Xenopus tropicalis: one gene and its partners. The main gene of each other region encodes a partner of the protein of the gene in region 5 in a complex. Links are inferred from orthologs where the notes say so. Each region holds a gene or a part of one and is shown on either strand. Other genes may lie near its edges. The genes, in order: cnot8, cnot2, cnot11, cnot10, cnot9 and cnot7.

What was found.
Region 1: cnot9 (region 5) and cnot8 share a complex: the UniProt entries of both Homo sapiens proteins name them as parts of the CCR4-NOT complex. The link is inferred for Xenopus tropicalis from reciprocal best matches to the Homo sapiens genes CNOT9 and CNOT8.
Region 2: cnot9 (region 5) and cnot2 share a complex: the UniProt entries of both Homo sapiens proteins name them as parts of the CCR4-NOT complex. The link is inferred for Xenopus tropicalis from reciprocal best matches to the Homo sapiens genes CNOT9 and CNOT2.
Region 3: cnot9 (region 5) and cnot11 share a complex: the UniProt entries of both Homo sapiens proteins name them as parts of the CCR4-NOT complex. The link is inferred for Xenopus tropicalis from reciprocal best matches to the Homo sapiens genes CNOT9 and CNOT11.
Region 4: cnot9 (region 5) and cnot10 share a complex: the UniProt entries of both Homo sapiens proteins name them as parts of the CCR4-NOT complex. The link is inferred for Xenopus tropicalis from reciprocal best matches to the Homo sapiens genes CNOT9 and CNOT10.
Region 6: cnot9 (region 5) and cnot7 share a complex: the UniProt entries of both Homo sapiens proteins name them as parts of the CCR4-NOT complex. The link is inferred for Xenopus tropicalis from reciprocal best matches to the Homo sapiens genes CNOT9 and CNOT7.

Annotation. Positions count from the first base shown.
Region 1 is NC_030679.2:19,855,443-19,859,751, forward strand, and holds the start of cnot8 (CCR4-NOT transcription complex subunit 8), read left to right. Parts: upstream 1-1,474; 5' UTR 1,475-1,558; intron 1,559-1,701; exon of another isoform or gene 1,702-1,725; intron 1,726-3,302; 5' UTR 3,303-3,390; coding exon 3,391-3,507; intron 3,508-4,309. UniProt on the Homo sapiens protein: Has 3'-5' poly(A) exoribonuclease activity for synthetic poly(A) RNA substrate. Its function seems to be partially redundant with that of CNOT7.
Region 2 is NC_030679.2:59,337,310-59,340,858, forward strand, and holds part of cnot2 (CCR4-NOT transcription complex subunit 2), read left to right. Parts: intron 1-1,415; coding exon 1,416-1,563; intron 1,564-3,549. UniProt on the Homo sapiens protein: Component of the CCR4-NOT complex which is one of the major cellular mRNA deadenylases and is linked to various cellular processes including bulk mRNA degradation, miRNA-mediated repression, translational repression during translational initiation and general transcription regulation.
Region 3 is NC_030678.2:110,381,426-110,384,974, forward strand, and holds part of cnot11 (CCR4-NOT transcription complex subunit 11), read left to right. Parts: intron 1-2,316; coding exon 2,317-2,481; intron 2,482-2,886; coding exon 2,887-3,039; intron 3,040-3,440; coding exon 3,441-3,549. UniProt on the Homo sapiens protein: Component of the CCR4-NOT complex which is one of the major cellular mRNA deadenylases and is linked to various cellular processes including bulk mRNA degradation, miRNA-mediated repression, translational repression during translational initiation and general transcription regulation.
Region 4 is NC_030682.2:50,256,191-50,259,608, forward strand, and holds the end of cnot10 (CCR4-NOT transcription complex subunit 10), read left to right. Parts: intron 1-2,416; coding exon 2,417-2,583; 3' UTR 2,584-2,902; downstream 2,903-3,418. UniProt on the Homo sapiens protein: Component of the CCR4-NOT complex which is one of the major cellular mRNA deadenylases and is linked to various cellular processes including bulk mRNA degradation, miRNA-mediated repression, translational repression during translational initiation and general transcription regulation.
Region 5 is NC_030685.2:82,339,201-82,343,207, forward strand, and holds the start of cnot9 (CCR4-NOT transcription complex subunit 9), read left to right. Parts: upstream 1-1,200; 5' UTR 1,201-1,465; coding exon 1,466-1,489; intron 1,490-2,499; coding exon 2,500-2,679; intron 2,680-4,007. UniProt on the Homo sapiens protein: Component of the CCR4-NOT complex which is one of the major cellular mRNA deadenylases and is linked to various cellular processes including bulk mRNA degradation, miRNA-mediated repression, translational repression during translational initiation and general transcription regulation.
Region 6 is NC_030677.2:42,299,972-42,304,124, reverse strand, and holds the start of cnot7 (CCR4-NOT transcription complex subunit 7), read left to right. Parts: upstream 1-1,321; 5' UTR 1,322-1,464; intron 1,465-1,471; exon of another isoform or gene 1,472-2,150; intron 2,151-2,953; 5' UTR 2,954-3,056; coding exon 3,057-3,173; intron 3,174-4,153. UniProt on the Homo sapiens protein: Has 3'-5' poly(A) exoribonuclease activity for synthetic poly(A) RNA substrate. Its function seems to be partially redundant with that of CNOT8.

The DNA of each region.
Region 1 (4,309 bases), on a different chromosome or scaffold from region 5:
TTAGTCTCTACTTGTCAGCTACGTCAACCTGACCTAGGATTGCTGCCTGTCTGGTTATTTGAATTTGAAAATTCAGACAGGACTCAGAAAAAAATGACGCTGTGTTCAGACAATCATCCCCATCTGGACTTATCATATTGAAAAGGCAGCAACTTTAACCAGGCCCTAGCTGCGGCCAGGGGGGACATTTTGTAACGCTCTCTGTAACGTTGCTGCACATGCACGAGTGCTCTTTTAAAGTTGCTAAATGCTGACTGTTTGCACATAATTTGCCAGAGAACCTGTAAAACCCAGGGGTAAAAGGTAAATTCCAACAAAATTGGGGGAGTTGAGAGTTATGCTTTTTAGGGTGAAGACACACTGAGCTACTAGTAGCAGCTTCTTTTTTGCACTACTAAACCCGAAAATCCCCTGCCATAGACAATACTGAGAATTGCCTCTGCTAAAACACACGTAGAGACAGTTATCAGTAAATGATCAGCACTGTCTATTTTAGTAGCCACGACAAGTAGCTGCTACTAGTAGCTCTGTGTGTCTTCACCCATATGAGGAGGGTTTATAACGTGGAGCCTGTGGGACTTCAAAATCTTCATTTTTGCATCTGGATTCAGAATGCAATGTAATGTAAATGTATAGAATTTTTACATTTTCCTTGTGCTTCTATATGGAAATAAGGGTTTGAAGCAATATCATGATAATGCAATATTTATAATTTTGAGATTCTACTCTCAAATATTATATTCAAATTCATACTTTAAAACTAAGTTTGGTTACTACAGTTAGAGTTATTACTACATACCAGGCTACTAGAAAGGAAATTGTGAAGGTAATTGCATTATTAATTGCTTTACTTCCACTTTCACCCCTAGGATCTCAGTAGTGTCAGTTTATACGCGTTTTGCACGTTTTCAATGCGTGATTAGTATACGGGTATAAATATACGTGTACATAACAAATTTCTTAACCAACAATTTTAAATTATATTATATCATATTTTATCATATGTTGACCAATACTGAATGTATAAGTTTTCAACGGCTGTTATTATTTGTACTGCAGATTATTTTTCTGCATAATGTAAATATTAATGTTTGAAAATATTTTAATGCCTTTATTTGGCTATAATGTTTAAAAAATCCCAATAAAAATGATTGAAACTACTTCCACTTTCGTCTTATTTACTTTTTGAGCTTATGTGCAACTTTTTTCTAGAATATAAATATCCTCCCCTTCAACACAATCCAATAACACAAATGGCATTTGAATACATAGTTCATAGTAATGCCTCACGAATTCTGCAAATCCAGTGCTGCGGCATAGCCTTCACGCATGCCCATTAGAGTCATTCAGTTTCCTTTCAACTGCGCATGCTCCGGGCCTACCTCGCTTGCTCGACTTCCTGGGTTCGGAACGCGTTTTTGATTGGCTTTTCGATCCTGACCATAGAGAGCAGTGGCTAGAGCGCCCGCCGAGTCAGCCATTGAACGTTACCGTAGAGTACGCACAAGTAGGAGATATACGTTCGTGCTGCCCTCTGCTTCGGGTCGGAGCCCGGGAGGTGAGATTGATCAGAAAGCCGGCTAAGGGGAGTTTTGTTTTTTAAATGCATCTGCTACGAACAGTACCCGGCAAGCGTCTCTCAAACCGTTTCCAGCCAATGTGCTGGAGACCTGCAGGATGGACATTTAAGATTTATTTCTAATATACGCTAGCCATCGGTAGCCTGTAGGCAACATCCTTATAAACCGCGTTTAATAATGTCATTACTTATAATCTGTGCTTAGTTCTTTAATTTGTGGAATGACTTACTGAAACTTGTGTCTTAGTCAGAATAGTTTATACTAGGTTGTAAGATATAAGGATATTAGGAGTCACAGTAAAGTTCCATAGACATATAAAGGAGCAATTGGCATATAACTCCTCCTTGGCTTCTAATATACTTATATTTTGCAACAGTAGGTGCATCATTTCCTATATTGTTAACAGGGAAATCTTACCACAAGGGAAGGGGGGTAGATAAATGTACAATGAATTTAAGAAATACTGTATTATTAAATGACAAAGCCAATGTTAATATATGTTTAATATATAGTGTGAAGGAAAAAAATGGCTCTTGTGTACTGTTACATGGGAGCCATACATATCCTGTAAATGATATCCTTATAAATGCTGCTTGGCAATTTAATTTCTGCCACATGGTTGCCAAAACTTGTGTCTTATAATTAAATACTTCTGTTGTAAAAAAGAAGGATATTAGAGGTCATCCCAGAGTAAAATGGCCTGTATAAAAGGACTTGGCCTTCGACCTCATGCTTTAATATAATTACATTTCTCAGTGACTTATAATATCCTTATATTTTACAATAGGGGGTACAATATTCATTATACACCATCTTCTGCAGTGAGATTATACATCATTCCCTGCCCCAGGGTACTTTCACATTCACATACAACGGTTTTCATTAGGGGCCAATTAACCTGCCTGTAGTTTTATTGCGGTGTGGAAGGAAACCACTGTAAGCATAAGGCAGTGCTGTGTCCATAAATGAACCAAGGACCTCAGGGCTGCAAGACAAAAGTGCTAACCACTGCAACAAAAATGTCCCAAGTTGTGTATTAGAACCAAAGGTAAGGTAAAAGTCAGTGGGGACCAATTAGCTAGTCACACCCAGTGAATACAATAGGTTACTTTTTACACCAGTCCGGCATTTCTCTATTGTAAAAAATGTTCTGGACTGCAGCCCCCCTACAACCAAGTTTTGAGCTTCTTAGTGAATTGTAGTAATCTGCGATCTAAACGACTGAGGCTTTTTTCTGTTGCTGATCTAAAGGGGTTAAACAAGGATGTCCTAATTGTGGCTGATCAGCCAAATTACTACTTAAAAGATGCTGGAGTTCTGCTTTGGCCAACTGACTGATTAAACTAAATATTTTATTGCATTAACTCCACACACCCTAACCATTGTGAAGTTGAAAAATGGACCAAATGGGATGAATAATCTATGTGCCCAGGCAGCTAACTCACCTGATGGATATGTAATATACTTATAGTGGTGTAGCAGTTTCATGAACTGTATTACTATAAATACTGCCAGGTGTTAGAATACTAATATACAAGGCAAGGCAAATGGTGGCAGGAGAACATTTCCCTGTATTCACCATCCGCAAGGCTAACAGGGTAGTGTTTCCCAGTGTTGCCTTTCCCTTACCTATAATTGTTTAATATGTCTTTTGATTGCAAATTCTTAATATGTTTGGGTTTCTGCAAGTTAACCTTAAAGTATATATTTTAAAATTTTTAGGTAAGAGACATCACCTCTGTCTGGGGAAAACACTGCTTGATTTTCTGTCTGTACCACACATCTCACTGGCCACCTTTCTGAATTCAAGATGCCTGCAGCAGTGGTAGATAATAGCCAAGTGATATGTGAGGTGTGGGCTGTCAACTTGGAGGAGGAGATGCATAAAATTAGAGAGCTTGTTCGCACTTATGGCTACATAGCAATGGTAAGTCTACATTAAACTGACACTTTGTCTGCGTGGGTATATTATTATATTACCCCCTTATCCCAGTTGCAATTGAGATGTATAGGGTTTTGGCTTTTGACAGGCCTATTGGGATTCATCAGGATTGCTGGTTGACTCTGACTAAAGGTGCCCATACACGTGAAGATTTGCTCGCTTGGCGATGTCGCCAAGCAAGCGGATCTTCACCTGATATCCCCACCTACGGGGGGGGAGATATCGGGGAACATGTAGGCTAATTTGATCCCTGGGGCCAAATGATTGAATTATAATGGCGGTCCCCGGTCCGACTAAATCTTTTAACCTGCCCGACCGTTGTTTCTGCCCCTACATGGCCTACAGTCGGGCCGTGTATGTGGACCTTCACTCTTTTTTGTGCACAAGTAGTGTCTGTGATCATAAGCCTTAAGTCTGTTTTAAGTATAAGTAGGGCTTGTGTCAAAAATGCATTGTGCACATTCCTTTAATACAAAAATATAATCAAGAGAGTTATAGAGATATAAAGGAAAATAACAACATATGTATAATTTAACCCCACCCTATCCCACAATGCTGCCTATGTAATATGCTAAGAGAAGGAGTTTGTTCTCTATACAGGAGTTTAACTGGTACAGGTGGTAACTACCCCTTTCCACAGCTGCTCTGAAGATCTTAGTAGGTAGGATCGAGTGTAAAGGTCAATGTGCCACAATGTATTTAGAGCCCTATTTATTGGATTTATATTGAACTTGGGTACATTTGTAAGCTTATTCATTGTATAAACTCACTGTTTGTACTATTGTAC
Region 2 (3,549 bases), on a different chromosome or scaffold from region 5:
TTTTTTTTACTTCTTTTTCCATATGTTTTATATAGCATTTCTCATAAAGAAAAAAACAAACCCAATTTAAATACATGTATTTCTTGTGATCGATTTAACAGAACTAGCATGAGTAGGTTTGCTAGATAACAAATAATGTTTACTTGTTATCGTTAAGCTTAATGCTTTTCCATTCAAAAGAGCTCATAAAAAAAAACACTTAATGTGCTCCAAATTCCAAGGAACCAGCTTCCTACCATGACATGTTGAATGATTAAAGCTGGTGCAGCAACATCAAATTTAATAGTTGCCACTTACTCATGTTCAATTTTACTTGATTATTGGCTGTGCCTTTTTAGGATATGAATTACTTGATTTTGGGCCTTTGCCCAAAATTGGGTGTATTGGCTGTGTCAGTGGCAACTCAGTAAATATAAGAGCAATACACCAACACGTGTCAGGTATTTATTTGCTCTTCAAATGGTATACAGTAATACATTTTACCAAGACCAGTATTAATGCTAGTATTAACCACATAGTCCATCTATATATTGATTTCTATGCAGCAGCCAGTAAAATTGTGTGATCTTATTTGAACACTCAGTGGATTGAATTTTGAAAGTCACAAAGAATTATACTACTCATATGTTGTCATACTTGAAGCTGAATTTATCTACACTGATGGTTCAAGATTCAGAACAATGCATATGTAAAGCTGTTTCTCATTGAAATGCCTCATACTTATTGATTTATTTCCAAGATACTTGATAACTTGAAAGCATTTAAAGGGGAAGGAAAGGCTAAGTCACTTGGGGGTGCCAAAATGTTAGGCACCCCCAAGTGACTTAGATCGCTTACCTTGTACCCTGGGCTGGTGCCCCTGTTAGGAGAAAAGAGCACCAGCCCAGGGTACCTGTAGGAAGTGCTTCCTCCTTCCTTTTTCTTCTGCCTGCGAAATCCGTTGGCCGGCGCATGCGCAGTAGAGTAAAAAGCCGACTTTCTTGTTTAAGTTCGGCTTTTCACTCTACTGCGCATGCGTGCGCAAGCGAAAAGGAAGGAAGAAGCGCTCGCTGCTACCCCGGGCTGGTGCTGTTCTCTCCGTACAGGGGCACCAGCCCGGGGTAAAAGGTAAGCGATCTAAGTCACTTGGGGGTGCCTAACATTTTGGCACCCCCAAGTGACTTAGCCTTTCCTTCTCCTTTAAAAGTAATACATGTTAAAATTCTGGGTTACAAAAAATCCAAAATGCCATATTTTACCAGCAATTTTTAATAACAGATGTGGAGCTCAAAGGCAGTAACTATAATGTCTCAGATCACTATGCTGGCTTTTAATACCTTTAAGGAGGAAGTAAAATATTGCTTTTAAAGTGATGCTGAAACTTGATGAGATATATTGATATATATATATTTTGTATCTTATTAATCATTGTACAGGTGCACTAGGCCTTCCAATGAGGGGGATGAGCAACAATACTCCTCAATTAAACCGCAGCTTATCACAAGGCACTCAGTTACAAAACCATGTAACGCCTACTACAGGGGTACCAACAATGTCGCTTCATACACCGCCATCTCCAAACAGGTATGGAAAAATAAAACATGACTAGCAATAAAAAGAAAGTTATGATGAAAATGAAGTTACAGTTTGTGTTAGAAAAGCTCTTAACCAGTTTGCAGTTTAAAATAGTTAAGTGAAACGGCATAGGCATACATTTGTATTATAGGGATCTATTATATATTTTACAGTTAATCTTATTTTTTTTTTTTTTTTTTTTTTTTTTTAAAGCATCAGTTTGTGACATGAGAAGCCATGTACTTGGCAACTGTGAATATTTCCATGTTTTATGTGCATAGTTTATTAAAGAAAAATAAATGTGTAGAGCAATATTCTGGAATTATTTGTTCTCAACAATTTTTGAGTACATGTATTGTCTACAGGTATTTGCAGATACAGTATATATGTGTATATGTATGTGTATATATGTGTATATGTATATACATACAAACCAGTTTGGTTTGTCCCTGAGGAAGAGTACAGTTAGTACTCGAAACGTTGGATTTTTTTGAATAAAATGTTTTCACTTTATCGTTAAGTCCTTGTGTGTGCAGCTCTCTGTTCATATATTGCCTCATTTTAGCCAGCACCCACAATAAAGTACAGGATCAGTGGCCTGGGTGCAGTCCAAATCACAATTGCATAGATACTCGAACAGAAGGACCGCTTCACACAGGACTTATGAAGAAATGTAGTTTTATTCACGCATCACAAATGGAGACTGACGTTTCGGCCGGACTCCCAGCCTTTCTCAAAGTAACATATTGTGTAAACTGCACATCTAAATACATTTAGTGGCGGGAAACAAGGTGATGACGTAGGATGTGACGTGTATCAAGACGGACCAAATATGTGAAATATTCAAACATCAACACTTAAACTAAATAGACAAAATCAATGGACATAAACAAATGTGTAATGTACAAAAATCTCGTAGGTAGTTCTAACAGGGTTCTACTCTCTATATATATTCAATAGCACCCGTAATTCATACAAATATCTCGGTGGACCTTCATAAGTAACATCAGGCTGATCAGATCGACAGATTTAAGTCATATATTAGGCATATACAGAACTGTTTCTTAGTATAGTATCTATATATATGTACAGTGGCTTGCAAAAGTGTTCGGCCCCCTTGAACTTTTCCACATTTTGTCACATTACAGCCACAAACATGAATCAATTTTATTGGAATTCCACGTGAAAGACCAATACAAAGTGGTGTACACGTGAGAAGTGGAACGAAAATCATACATGATTCCAAACATTTTTTACAAATAAATAACTGCAAAGTGGGGTGTGCGTAATTATTCAGCCCCCTTTGGTCTGAGTGCAGTCAGTTGCCCATAGACATTGCGTGATGAGTGCTAATGACTAAACAGAGTGCCCCTGTGTGTAATCTAATGTCAGTACAAATACAGAGGCTCTGTAACGGCCTCAGAGGTTGTCTAAGAGAATATTGGGAGCAACAACATATGAAGTCCAAAGAACACACCAGACAGGTCAGGGATAAAGTTATTGAGAAATTTAAAGCAGGCTTAGGCTACAAAAAGATTTCCAAAGCTTTGAACATCCCACGGAGCACTGTTCAAGTGATCATTCAGAAATGGAAGGAGTATGGCACAACTGTAAACCTACCAAGACAAGGCCGTCCACCTAAACTCACAGGCTGAACAAGGAGAGCGCTGATCAGAAATGCAGCCAAGAGGCCCATGGTGACTCTGGACGAGCTGCAGAGATCTACAGCTCAGGTGGGGGAATCTGTCCATAGGACAACTATTAGTTGTGCACTGCACAAAGTTGGCCTTTATGGAAGAGTGGCAAGAAGAAAGCCATTGTTAATAGCAAACCATAAGAAGTACCGTTTGCAGTTTGCCACAAGCCATGTGGGGGACACAGCAAACATGTGGAAGAAGGTGCTCTGGTCAGATGAGACCAAAATGGAACTTTTTGGCCAAAATGCAAAACGCTATGTGTGGCAGAAAACTAACACTGCACATCACTCTGAACACA
Region 3 (3,549 bases), on a different chromosome or scaffold from region 5:
CCTAGTCTACTAAAAATCATTTTAACATTGAATAAACCCAATAGGATTGTTCTGCTTCCAATAAGGATTCATTATATCTTAATTAGGATCAAATTCATGGTACAGTACTGTTTTGATATTACAGAGAAAAAGGAAATCATTTTTTTCAATTATTTCTGAATTATTTGATTATATTGGCATCTGTTGGAAATGGCCTTTCTGTATTTCAGAGCTTTCTAGTTAACAGGTTTCTAGATACAGTATGTATGTTGTTTAGCCTTCTTGGTAATTCTAGTAAAATCCTGTTATCCACCTCAGAATATGCTGCATCTAGTACCAGAGACTAAAGCTACAGTAGTGTTTTTGGGGAGATATGGTGCAATAGGATTTGGAGCAGTTAAATTATTTTATATAATTGGTTTCCAATATTATACTGTGATTAGATTGTTTTTCTCTTTTTGGGAAAGACTATTAGTGTTTATTTCTGGCAGAAAACCTGACATTTCCTATTATGTAGCCAAGGGAAAGATTTTCCAGGGTGGAACTATTTCATAAGTGCTCTAATATGAGCAGCCTTATAAAATGGGTAATAACTTGGACATAAAACCCCTACAGATATTTTTATAGTAGAGAGTTAACTTTCCTTAGTGCAATTTTAGGATCCAATCAATTTTAAAGGAGAACTAAAGCTTAACTTAACTCTATTTAAAAAAAAAAAAAAAGTTTTTGGTAACTAGGACATTTTCACTGCGCATGTTCTTTCTAGACACAAAATATAGTATCTAAACCAAGATCCCATAAAAACAATCCGCACACCAGAGGCCACCCCTTTAGATTAGAGGAACGGAGCTTTCATTTGAAGCAGCGTAGGTGGTTTTTTTACGAGGGCAGTGAGGTTGGGGAATGCCCTTCCTAGTGATGTGGTAATGGCAGACTCTGTTAATGCCTATAAGAGGGGCTTGGATGAGTTCTTGAACAAGCATAGTATCCAAGGCTATTGTGATACTAATATCTACAGTTAGTATTAATGTTGGTATATATAGTTTATGTACGTGAGTGGATAGATAGGTCAGTATGTGTCTATATGTGTAAACTGGTTCACTTGAACTTGGTGGTCTTTTTTGAACCCAACTTAACTACTTTATATACTCAAGTATAAGCCTAGTTTTTCAGCACCCATGGGTCCGTCTAGACTAGCACCCTCTCTCCTTTGTGTGCAAATTAGGCCACCTGCAACCAGACCCTCCAGTGCCCTGGCCTAGGCTCCCACTAGCAATACTTATTTGCCCTTACATCTCCTCCGGGACCCGGTCTGCTGCCAGTTTGCCAATGTGCAATGAGCATAGGGTAGTACTCATATTGTTTTTGTTGACCCTCTTCTCCACTTACAGAGCTAGTTTACTGTTTTTCTTTGAAATAAATATTGAAAAACATATACCCCACTGATACCTCAATTTATGTAATTTTATTGGTATTTATTTTAATTATTAAAACTTAGCAGTAGCTGCTGTATTTCCCACCCTAGGCTTATACTTGAGTCAATAAGTTTTTCCAGTTTTCTTAGGTACGTCGGCTTATACTTGAGTATATACGGTATGTAACTATTCTGATAATTGTATTACTCCACTGAGTATTGGCCAAACCTAGTGAGGCAAATGGTTTAGCAGCAGGTCATTTGCATAAACTTGTTTTATATTTTCTCCCTGACTCTAAGTAGTCCCGTGATCTGGCGTCGTGCCTCAAGAACTGACGCAAGGGCTCAGTGAGTCCAGCAATGGGCTCCTTATTTTGTTAAATTTATATGGAGCTCCTCTTGCATTGTGTCAGTTTATAAAAGAATGTTTGTTTGTTTGTTTACTAAGGCTTTCCATCTGGTAAGAATCAGCCCAGTAAGGCCCATCCATGTCATTGCAACCAGCTTCTTGGTATAGAATAATGAGCAGTAGTGAATGAGTGTGAATTAGGTAACAAATTATCTGCAATGGACAAACTCTTGACGCAAAAGATTTGGTAGTGCTAGTTCATGATCAGGAACTAGAGTACTTTTGCCAATACCTTTGGACAGAGGGACATTTCAAGATAACATGCATAAAAGTTCCATTGTCAGTGATTGTAATACTTAAAAGTAACAGGAAGTCTTGTTTATGTGATTCCTCTTTATATTATAGTTATTGTTCTTGTAATGCTGGGTAGGTAAAGTAATATTTCTTATAAAAGATACCAGTATTTGTGTTTATATGTATTTTATATTTCTTCCTTTATCATTTTGCTTGATGGTGCAAATAAATGTGGAAATCAATATACAACATATGTGTTATATATCTATTGGTTTTACAGGATTTCTGCCTCCAATTACTCCACCAGAAAAATTTTTCCTCTCACAGTTGATGTTGGCACCACCAAGGGAGCTATTTAAAAAGACACCCAGGCAGATTGCTGTGATGGATGTGACCAGTTTGGCTCAACCAGTGGACATTAGTGGACTACAGTTAGCTCTTGCTGGTAAGGCATTCGAAAACATTCAGATGAACATATTGGGGCTAAAGCTGTCTCATAAAGGCTCAACATGTTAACAAACATATGCTGAGCATTACTTTTGCCATTATAAAGCAGTAATTCCCCACTCTCCACTATAAACAGGGTATTTGTTCAGTGAGAGATAATTTTCTGGGGTTTCTGGATAAGAGATTATGTAATTCGAATCACTATACCTTACATCTGCTAATAATCATTTAAACTTAAGTCAAGTAAACTTAAGTAGAATTTTTTTGCTGCTCCTTTAGTACAAGGTACTGTTTTATTGCTGAGAAAAAGGAAATCATTTTTAAAAATTAGAGTGATTGTTTTTTGTTTTTTTTATTTTAAAGCTTACTTTGTTGTATCTGCTGACTTTCTATTTCCCTCCAGAGCGCCAGTCTGAGCTCCCAACACAGAGCAAAGCCAGCTTTCCCAGTATTCTTAGTGACCCAGACCCAGATTCTTCCAATTCCGGCTTTGACAGTTCTGTTGCATCGCAAATAATAGAAGCATTAGTCAGCGGCCCAAAACCACCAATTGAAAGTACGTTTTGTTTTATTGTTTGTATATGTGTCTAAAACCAAGGTTTTATATTTAGTTAAGTAGTTAAATATACATACATTTTGAAAAACTACTGTAAGAAGTGTATTGAAATGTCTTATTAGTTTGCTTCAAAAACCGTATCCGTCACACTTTATGGCCAAGATTCAAGCTATCTTTATAAAAGACCTTATTAATAAAAGTGGTCACAGATCCTATCCAGTATCCATAATGTACAGCACTGCAGGATTTGACTAGCATTTAGTATAGTTATCTTATGAAGACCTGATATCTTTATATCTGTCCTTTGCTAATTATGAATTGCACACAAATAAAGTTGCAATATTAAAAATTGCTGATACTCACACACAGTGTATCTGAACCTGTCTTTGTGATGTTTCTAGGCCACTTTCGCCCAGAATTTATCCGTCCCCCACCTCCTCTTCATGTTTGTGAGGATGAGTTAGCCTGGCTCAATCTTATAGAACCAGATCATGCCATTAAATGGGACCG
Region 4 (3,418 bases), on a different chromosome or scaffold from region 5:
TTGGAGGGAGCTGAAACTCCGTGTTGCTCAGCGACAGCCCCGAAACCTGACAGATCTAGAGGAGATCTGTGTGGAGGAGTGGGACAAAATCCCTGTTGCAGTGTGTGCAAACCTGGTCAAGAACTACAGGAAATGTTTGGCCTCTGTAATTGCAAACAAAGGTTTCTGTACCAAATATTAACACTGATTTTCTCAGGTGTTCAAATAGTTATGTGCAGCAGTGAAATACAAAAATATTCTTTAAAAATCATACAATATTATGTCCTGAATTTTTTTTTTAAATGCTGTCTCTCACAGTGGGAATGCACCTACAATGTGAGTTTCAGACCCCGCCATGATTTCTAAGTGGGAGAACTTGCAAAATCGCAGGGTGTTCAAATATGTTCCTCACTGTAGCTATAGGAATCGTGTTATTTGCCTACTGGCAGCACCAGGGTTAATTTTTTTATTCTCTTTTCTCTTTTAAATGTCATTTAATTTAAGTGTTGGTGGGGGAAATTCTGAAGTGTTTTTACTCATTTTCTAAAGGCTTTCTATATATGACTGAAATCCATATTTCTACTGAAAGTAATTCGAGTTGTACATTTGTGTAATTGCATGGGTCCACAGCTGCGAAACCTCTCTCTCCATTGCTCCTTATATCTGTGCTTCCGATCTACGCTTTCTGCTTGCATGAAATAAGTATGCAAAGGTTCCAGCAGAGGAGTAGAATCCATATCCCATGCATATTTTATAAATGTAACATCATTTAAGTGAATATCCAAATTGCTTCATATCCCGATCCTCATGGGCATTCCCTGGTGCCATACTTGAATCATTAAAGTTTCCTTGCATGATACATTTACCCACTAGGGTTCCCATTCAAGAAAATCAATGTTCACAAACGCTCCACTGTGGTTGTCTCTCTGACAGATGGCATTGCCATGAGATCATATTTACACTGGAACAGGCATTCTGACATTAATATATTGGCACGTTATTGCATTATGCTATTCCCAGACACATTCTCTATTAGACCTTGAAAAATATTTGCATCCAGCATCCACATTTTCCTTTGTGTAATCCTAGCTCCTATAAAATGGGTTCTGCTGCTCCCCATGGATTGATTCCATTTAAACAAATTAGACCTAAAAGTGGGCAGTACTAGGCTTGGCCATTATAAAGATGTTAAGTGATTCAGTTGTCAGGGACCTGTTATCCAGAATGCTTGGGATCTGGGGTTTTCTCAATAAGGGATCTTTCCATAATTTGGAACCCCATACATTAAGTCTACTAAAAATCATTTAAACACTAAATAAACCAAAAATTATTGTTTTGCATCCAATATGGATTCATTATTTCTTAGTTTGGACCAAGTACAAGGTACGGTTTTATTAATAAAGAGAAAAAAGAATTTTGTAAAATTTTGAATTATTTGATTATAATGGAGGACATCGGAGCTGGCCTTCCCATAATTTGGAGCTTTCTGGATGACAGAACCCATACATTTACCTGAAATTAATTGGAAACATACATTTTGTTTACTTTTGGGACAAAATGATATACTAGGGAAAAAAGGTAAAGCCTACTTTTGTGTTTGCGTGTTGAAGTTTGGCAGAAATATACCCATGTTTTGCTGTATGGCTGGGATTTTGGATGCACACACTCAGCATCAGAGTACAGAGCATTTACTGTAATAACAGAAATAAACCTAATATTGAAGAAAATAAAGTGTTAAATGAAATTGAACTGTACATGCTAGCTAGATAAGGGCTTGTACTCTCACACATTTCTTTCTGTGCTGCTCGACAGTGGCGTTCTCCTACGTTCCACCGCAGGGGAGCACAGGGATAAGTGCAACCCTTTCTTCCTAATGGGGCTGTACTAACGCAGGCACAGGTCAGCACCAAAAGCAGGGGAATGCAACATTAGTACAGACCCATAAGGAAGAATGGGAAGCACTTCTTCCTGTGCTCCCCCCGCGGTGGAACGTAGGAGAACGCCACTGTCAGGCAGCACAGAAAGAAACACGTGTGAGTACGAGCCCTAAAAGTCTTCCTTGCAGAACACTTCTTGTTCAGAAATATTCTTTGGTTGTGCACAAGCACTGTGTGTCGACCCTAAAACTAACTATAACAGTAATCTGGGGACTGTGAAGGCCTTCCCTAAACCTTGAAATCAGATTTATTTTATTTTCAGCTTTGGTTGCGGACGTTTAAATATTGATTAATTCAGATTTTAGCTGATCAGCATCAAACAACAATAAAATATTCTGTATCTGGTATAAAAGAACAACATAAATCTAAGGCACAACAATAGGCTGGTTTAAGTGTAATGGTTGTTCGGGTCAAAGCATTTTGTAAAATGTTGAAACATCCAAAGCCAAATAAAACCAATCTTTCTGCTCAAAGCACTGTATTTATTTTTGTTTTTGTAGGCAATACCCAGCTGGCCTTGCAGATCATCAAAAGGAATCAGCTTCTCCCGTCCATCAGAATGATGTCAGATCTTCGAAAGAAGCCATTATTCCAGACAATGCATCAGCCAATGCAGCCAATGCAGCCAATTCAGATGCCAGCTTTTACTGCTGTTCAGAGAAAATGATTTATGGTGGTCCAGGGACTTGTAGAGAACATGGCCTCAAACCATTCAACTCAATTACTCAGTGATCTGGCGAATGTTCTTGGCATACTTCACTCCTGCTTTATCCACAGTATACATAATGTACAAAGGATCACATGTGCCAGGTTCATCAATTTTAACCAAGTAGGAAATCATGCCCTGTGACCTTTGACATGGGATTTCATCCTTGTTTTTGTAAGGAATGGAAGAAGTCATGACTTTTATATATAAAAAAAAATGTAAAGCCATCATATGGTCAGATTAGGATAACACTGGTATATTAAAAGTATTTTCTTGCTCACTTGTGTGTGTGTGTAGTAATGGTTGGAGATGGGAATGGTTATTGTGGGTATAGAATATCTTAAGGGCCAATTTAACTGGCTAGTTTAAGTTGACCAGTACTTGCCATTGAGCACAGAGCTTGATATAGGGGTTGGCTCTGTGCGCAGTGTACAACATGATATATAAAGCCAGATAATAGCAAGCTAGATAAGTTTAAAGGAAGGTAAAAACTAAGTAAGCTTTATCAGAAGGGTCTATGTAAATACAGCCATAAGCACTCACAGAAACGCTGCACTGAGTTCTCTGTCAAAAGATTTGTTGTGTCTGTTTTCTTCTGCCAGAGACACGCAGCTCTCTCATCTCTCCCCCCTCCCTCAAGAATGCTAAGAACTCACTCCCTTCTCTTGCTCTTGGTGCAGGAGCGAGGCATTATGGGAACTTTCTTTACACAGCTCAGCATTTTTTCTTCCTGTTTGGCTTCTGATCATCTGAACAGGAGAAATATGGGGAGACTTAATGGCACTATTGAGAGAAC
Region 5 (4,007 bases):
AATTAAATGAACCCAATAGGACTGTTCTGCCCCCAATAAGGGGTAATTATATCTTAGTTGGGATCAATTACAGGTACTGTTTTATTATTACAGAGAAAAGGTAATCATTTAACCATTAAATAAACCCAATAGGGCTGTTCTGCCCCAATAAGGGGTAATTATATCTTAGTTGGGATCAAGTACAGGTACTGTTTTATTATTACAGAGAAAAGGAAATCATTTAACCATGAAATAAACCCAATAGGGCTGTTCTGCCCCCAATAAGGGGTAATTATATCTTAGTTGGGATCAAGTACAGGTACTGTTTTATTATTACAGAGAAAAGGGAATCATTTAACCATGAAATAAACCCAATAGGACTGTTCTGCCCCCAATAAGGGGTAATTATATCTTAGTTGGGATCAAGTACAGGTACTGTTTTATTATTACAGAGAAAAGGGAATCATTTAACCATTAAATAAACCCAATAGGGCTGTTCTGCCCCAATAAGGGGTAATTATATCTTAGTTGGGATCAAGTACAGGTACTGTTTTATTATTACAGAGAAAAAAGGAAATCAATTTTAAAAATGTAAATTATTTGATTAAAATGGAGTATATGGGAGACAGCCTTTCCGCAATTCGGAGCTTTCTGGATAATGGGTCCTATACCTGTACCCATAACACGCTTTCACATGGGAGGCTTCACTGGTAGAACTAAATCGCCCAGATACATCCAATAGTTTTTTTTCACCTTTTTCGGGGTAAGTGGTGGCCCTCCGTTCGCTGCCGGCCTACTTGCTTGGAATGGTACTAGAGCCGGTGGAACAGCAGCGGGAGGGCGGCAGGCTGACTAGAATACAGGGAGAGCGCCGGGTACTTGGTCGGATTGACACACAGAAAGCGATAAAAGACAAGAGAAATAGCCCGCAAACCGCATTCCTGTCACTGTGATTGTATGCTTTTCCCGGCGGCCCCCCGTCCCTCACCTTCTCTGGTTCTCCTTGCTCTCCTTCCAGTTCTCTCAGAGCGCCGACTGTCACGCAAGCACCAATTTGGCGGGAACCTTGGAATCAGCCGAACCTCTCTCTCACTGCGAACAGCGCCACAGCCAGAGGGGACGCGTGACGTCACCTCCAGCGCCGCACTCCGACCACGGCGCCGGGCGATGACGTCTGCAGCAGTCGATGCGTGGAACAGGGTGATGACGCAGGTGTTTGCCCGTATACTTGCTTTCTGCGCTTTCAAAACGTAATTTGTTAGCAAAATCTGGGGACCGGATGTATTCATGAGACGAAATGTTTGCTTCGTTATTTGTTTCACGGTGGCAGTAACGCTTTGACCAGAGTGGGTCGCGGTTTGATGACGTCCCGAGTAGAGGCGGAGCTCCGGTTGTTGTGGAGAGGTTCCGTGGAAGGAAGGGGGTGGTGCAAGGATTTGCAGCGGGGAGTAAGCGGTACCGAGGGAGGAAAGGAGGGCTCAGGAACATGCACAGCCTGGCCACGGCGGCGGTAGGTAGGCCCTCAGGGGCCACAGTGTATGTGTGTGTGTAAGGAGAGGGGGAGTCCCCTTGTCTATTGGGAACGGTGCGGTCAGGTTCATTGCAGGAATATCTGACAATCCTTCAGGTGTGGAGAGACTTGTAGTCCCACATGAGCTGCAGGGTCACAGCCTGTCCGGTTACTATTATTGTGGGTCCCGGGTTTGATCAAAGAAAGTTTATTGGCTGCTCCTGTCTTGTACCGCGAAGTGATGTGAAGTGATCCACTCTGCGTTCCGTAATTTCATACTATTCCCCTTTACTCCGCTCCATTCTGGAGTTTAAAGGGGAACTTCACTCATTTACTGTTTGGTGCATAAGGAAATCAAGTATAATTCTCAGCAACTCTCTACTGTCCATTCATTACGCGTTGTCATTGGCTAGAAAGTTCTTTATCATTGACTTTAAAAGCAGCGTATGCTTGTTTGTATTCTCTGCACTGCTGGTTCTGACTCCTTAAACAAGTTAGAAGTTGCAAAGTGATTCATTTATATATATAATATAATAACTGTAATGTTCTAGGAAAAAGTTTCAATCATTTCCAAGGGGTATTGGGCACCTAAACAGCATGGCATTTGCCTGAATGTCATCTTAATGTCACATGACTTAAATTCTGATCAATTAAAGGGGACCTGTCACCCCAAGAAATAATTCCAAATCCTTTTAAATCAGGTTAGTACAGCAAAATAAACTTTACTTACACGATTTCAATTATTGAATTTATTTTCCCTTCAGTCAGCAAGCTTTGTATCACCCCAAAATCTTATGCATTTGCCATCAAGGTGATGTATAGGAAGTGCTGAATGGAAAGTGAAAGCAATTGTTATTAAAAATCCGAGCTGTCAATCATATATTGCCTGCCCCGCCTCTATGCCTTCGGGATTTTATGTAGTATGGGGCCAATGGAGCGCATTTCTAGTGTGAATATGTGCATAAGCCACGTGTACTTGACCATTTATCTGTGTTTCTCTGTTTTATCAGCCTGTGCCGGCAGCTCTTGCTCAGGTGGATCGAGAGAAAATCTATCAGTGGATTAATGAGTTGTCCAGCCCTGATACCCGCGAGAATGCCTTGCTCGAGCTCAGCAAAAAGCGTGAATCCGTTCCAGACCTTGCTCCTATGCTGTGGCACTCCTTCGGCACAATAGCAGCACTTCTACAGGTTTGTTTTGCAGCTATTTGGATGCACAATTGCATTTTATTACTCACGTTTGTTGCGACTTTTTCGAGCTCTCAGTACGAAAGTTGCAACAATTCGCGAAAGTCGTAATGGGTATGAAAAAGTTATGACAATTCGCGAAAGTCGTAATGGCTATGAAAAAGTTGTGACAATTCGCGAAAGTCGTAATGGCAGTGAAAAAGTCACAATAGCAGCACTTCTACAGGTTTGTTTTGCAGCTATTTGGATGCACAATTGCATTTTATTACTCACGTTTGTTGCGACTTTTTCACGAATTGACGCAACTTTTTCGAGCTCTCAGTACGAAAGTTGCAACAATTCGCGAAAGTCGTAATGGGTATGAAAAAGTTATGACAATTCGCGAAAGTCGTAATGGCTATGAAAAAGTTGTGACAATTCGCGAAAGTCGTAATGGCAATGAAAAAGTCACAATAGCAGCACTTCTACAGGTTTGTTTTGCAGCTATTTGGATGCACAATTGCATTTTATTACTCACGTTTGTTGCGACTTTTTCGCGAATTGTCACGACTTTTTCGAGCTCTCAATACGAAAGTTGCAACAATTCGCGAAAGTCGTAATGGCTATGAAAAAGTTGTGACAATTCGTGAAAGTCGTAATGGCAATGAAAAAGTCACAATAGCAGCACTTCTACAGGTTTGTTTTGCAGCTATTTGGATGCACAATTGCATTTTATTACTCACGTTTGTTGCGACTTTTTCGCGAATTGACGCAACTTTTTCGAGCTCTCAATACGAAAGTTGGGACAATTCACGAAATTTGTAATGGCTATGAAAAAGTCGCGTCAATTCGCGCAAGTCGTAACGGTTACGAAAAAGTCGCAACAATTTACGGAAAAGTCGCAACGGCGACAAAAAAAACGCAAAAATACGGAAAAGTCGCAAAATGTTCATTTTTCAATCCGGATTCGTGGATTAGTAAATCAGCCCCATGGTGTACAAGGTGGGAGTACTTCCCCTTGAATGGCATTCACAAATCGAGGACACACAAATCGATTGTTGCTATAGAGTAACCAAGCACATCAAGTTGCTGGGATATCATTCGAGACCACTATGAGGCTACAACCTGTTTCCTCTGTGCTGAGTTCTGTGATCAACTGAGCGATAGCTTTGTATTTGTGTTTGATTAGAATTATGTCTTGGGTTGGGCAAGAATATTCCTAGGGATGCTTATAGGGGCAGCAAAGTGTTGCAAGGCACATCAGTTATTCATTCCATAGATACATAAAAAATTAAGGGTAAGTTTTTTTTTTTTTTTTTCAAAATGGGCTTTTCCAGTAAATGCAAATATAT
Region 6 (4,153 bases), on a different chromosome or scaffold from region 5:
CTTCATAAGTGTACCTTATTAACATTCCCCCCACTTCACAAGTGTACCTTATTAACCTTCCCCTTACTTCATAAGTGTACCTTATTATCATTCCCCCCCACTTCATAAGTGTACCTTATTAACATTCCCCCCCACTTCATAAGTGTACCTTATTAACATTCCCCCCCCACTTCATAAGTGTACCTTATTAACATTCCCCCCCCACTTCATAAGTGTACCTTATTAACATTCCCCCCACTTCATAAGTGTACCTTATTAACCTTCCCCCCCCACTTCATAAGTGTACCTTATTAACCTTCCCCCCCACTTCATAAGTGTACCTTATTAACCTTCCCCCCCACTTCATAAGTGTACCTTATTAACATTCCCCCCACTTCATAAGTGTACCTTATTAACATTCCCCCCCACTTCATAAGTGTACCTTATTAACATTCCCCCCCACTTCATAAGTGTACCTTATTAACATTCCCCCCCCACTTCATAAGTGTACCTTATTAACATTCCCCCCCCACTTCATAAGTGTACCTTATTAACCTTCCCCCCCCACTTCATAAGTGTACCTTATTAACCTTCCCCCCCACTTCATAAGTGTACCTTATTAACCTTCCCCCCCCACTTCATAAGTGTACCTTATTAACCTTCCCCTTACTTCATAAGTGTACCTTATTAACATTCCCCCCCACTTCATAAGTGTACCTTATTAACATTCCCCCCACTTCATAAGTGTACCTTATTAACATTCCCCCCACTTCATAAGTGTACCTTATTAACATTCCCCCCCACTTCATAAGTGTACCTTATTAACATTCCCCCCCACTTCATAAGTGTACCTTATTAACCTTCCCCCCCCACTTCATAAGTGTACCTTATTAACATTCCCCCCCACTTCATAAGTGTACCTTATTAACATTCCCCCCCACTTCATAAGTGTACCTTATTAACACCCCCCCAATTTCTAAGTGTACCTTATTAACCTTCAACCCTCACTCAGATAACATTAAATAAAACCGCAAGATACAGTCGGCTGTCACTTCCTCTTACACCCCCAGTTGTCCCTTGCCGTGCTACACAACATGTATGTAACCTTCCCTACGCACCATGATATCTGAGAGAAGCCATACACGCAGTTGTCACATACCTGCACACACATACTAGATAGACAGTTGTGTGTTTATCCCATCAAGCACAATCCCAGTTGCCACTTACTTTCACTCTCCATGGGTCGCGCCGTATGACGCACAGCCTGTGACATCATGTCACCTACCAGCTTGAGAAGGGGATGGTTTTCCACGCCTTTGTGGCGGCTTGACGTCATCCAAGTGCGTCCGGGAGGAGGTTAGCAGGAACCTGCCGTGGGACTGGCGCGTCGCTCGCATGACGTGTAGGGGCCTCGGTAATCTCCTGTGCGAGCCCTGGGAGCGCGGTCGTGAAGTGACAGACCGGCAGCGGCCAGACTTATCTTAGGTAGGGCAGGGATAGTGTCGGGCTGTGAGCCTTACAGAACGGATACGGAGCAGTGGGATGGCACACACACACACACTGGGCACAACCAGAGGCGGCTGTATTGTCTGTCACAAGCATCAGTAGGCATTGGTGCTTAGCGCACATACCGTGACTATGGGCCAGTATCCAGTCGGGGAGCCTCCAGCTCGTTCAATCACAAGGGACGCAGAAGGGATACTTGCACCTGAACAGCTTTTATTGGCAGCTGTGTGGCGAACCCCTAGCTCGTAAACTACATTACCCAGCATCCTTCATCAGCCAAAGGATACGCTTCAGCAACAAGTGCAGCTGGACATCTTCCTGTCTACCCCGCAAGACAGTTCAGGGAGACCTGCTTCTCCCCATTCATTTCTGGCTTTTATTAAAGGGGCAGTATACCCCCTTGTTCATTATGATTGCAATGAATAGAACTTGTGCTGATCATACTTTTTGTCTGTTTTAATCAGGAAACATTTATTGTTTTTGATGTTTTCTGTGCTAAACAGTCAACTGAAGCTCATGCATGTTTTGTGAGGCAGATCATTATCAGTGCACAAAGGAAATCCTGCCAACCTGTAAGCCAAACTAGACATAACAAAGGGTGATGGGATGAGGGTTGTTTATACAGAGCTCAGTATATCTAGATAAACTAACTCATCTAATTAATGGTAAGAGAGTAAGCATAGGAGAAAACAAATGCTTCATTTCTGATTTATTATAATGTTATCACTAAGAAATATGCAATTTTTTCAGTTGATATGTTCAATGATATGCTGTATTATTTGCATATGTTCTATTTATTTTGCTAATGTTGTATATTGGCATATACTGCCCCTTTAACACATGATCTGCATAAAACATGGTCTGCATCCAGGGTGGCACCTAGAGATTCTTATGTATAGAACTCTGGTATGGTCACTTTCCAAGAGTTGTAATAATACTGCTAGCCTACATTATTACTACCCAGTTGAAGCCTAACAGTACCAGCTGTGTTCATTATCTCTGCTTAGTGATGGGCCAGAAAGCTCAGATTGCTGGGCCTTGCTGTATAGAGCACTAAGGCAAAATAGAATTATGCTACTCCCTAAAGAAGCCACAGTGTTGACTTAAAAGATGGCTTTACAACTATTACCATGGGTAGAGAGAAGAAATATTCTATTTATACACTTTTGTGCTTCAACCACAACTTCCCCTAACTCATATTAACAATGGATCACCATATATGGGCAAAATACAAAAATCAATTTTTGGGTAATGTCATGGACCAAACACACTCCATAGTCAGAGGATCCCCATTCCTAATATAAAATGTATTGCACAAAGTGCATATTGTTCAAAAGGTGGTGGCATGCACATGGGCCACCTTTCCCCTTTCTTGGCATTTCCTGATATGTTCTGCCTGCTAGTATTATACCGGTATATTATTTTTTATTTGTTAGTAAAATAAAAACTATTCTTCTTTTAATTTTAGATTTAGCAGCTGATTTCGGCCTCGGCCTACCACCTATGAAACCCTTTAATAGCTAATTGCAAAATTTTGATGCCTGCCTCTGAGTCAGTCCCCCAGACCCACTATGCCAGCTGCAACAGTGGACCTCAGCCAGCGAATTTGCGAAGTCTGGGCTTGCAACCTGGATGATCAAATGAAGAGAATCCGCCAAGTTATACGCAAGTATAATTATGTTGCAATGGTATGTTTAGGATGTTTGTTTCCCCTCCAAAAATGTTTTTCATTTTTGAAATTGGCATTAAGAGTTCAGGAATATTTAAGATTTTATAGATTTTTGAGTCTCCTCAAAGGGGAACCTATTTACTGTTTATAAGCAATCCTTGCTTGCAGTATCTGCCACACTGCTTCCGCTGTCAGGGTAATATTATATCAACTATAGACTCTAATGGCCCAATGTTTCGTGTGACATAACAATAATAGAATAATTAATTTACTTTAATATGCAATATAAGTACTTGTTTACATTAAAATATTAATATTTTTTTTGTCCAGTACAATGGGTTCGGTTTATATTGCAGTTATAATTTTTCTAGTGTGTAGAAACAAGTCAGGCTGCTTACTGCACTTATTTGTTAAAGATATTTCTAAGTAGAACTAAAGCCTAAAAAAAAAGAATATGGCTAGAAATGCTGTATTTTCTATTCTAAGCTAATTGTAGCAGCTTTATGATAGTAAAGATCCATGGGCTCAACTGCTAAAGGTGTATGGTGGCCATGGTCTGGTAAGGTGCCTGCCATTGGGTAGGCTAGGTAGCAACTAAAACTCTTAGAATAGTGGCACACGGTGCTGTTTCAGGGACTTTGATTAACATATTTTTAAAGGAGAACTTTACTTCCGGATGGCACTCTTTGCCTAGACCCCCCCCCCACCTCTCCCATATCGCATTGTTTTCAAGTTTACACTCTGTCCCTATTGCTGACTGCTAGCTAAAAATGCAGACAAGCGCAACCGCGTACCTCGCCAACATCTTACCGACTGAAGACTCTTTGGGTCTCACAGCCGACACCTAACCTGCTTGAGAATGCGCAGTTGAAGCAGATTTCCTGCTACCTACAACTACTCATGCGCAAGCAGGTTCGTATCGGCGGTGAGACCCAAAGTGTCTTCAGTTGGTAAGAAAATGTCGGCCAGGTACGCGGCTGCGCTTCTTTGCATTTTTAG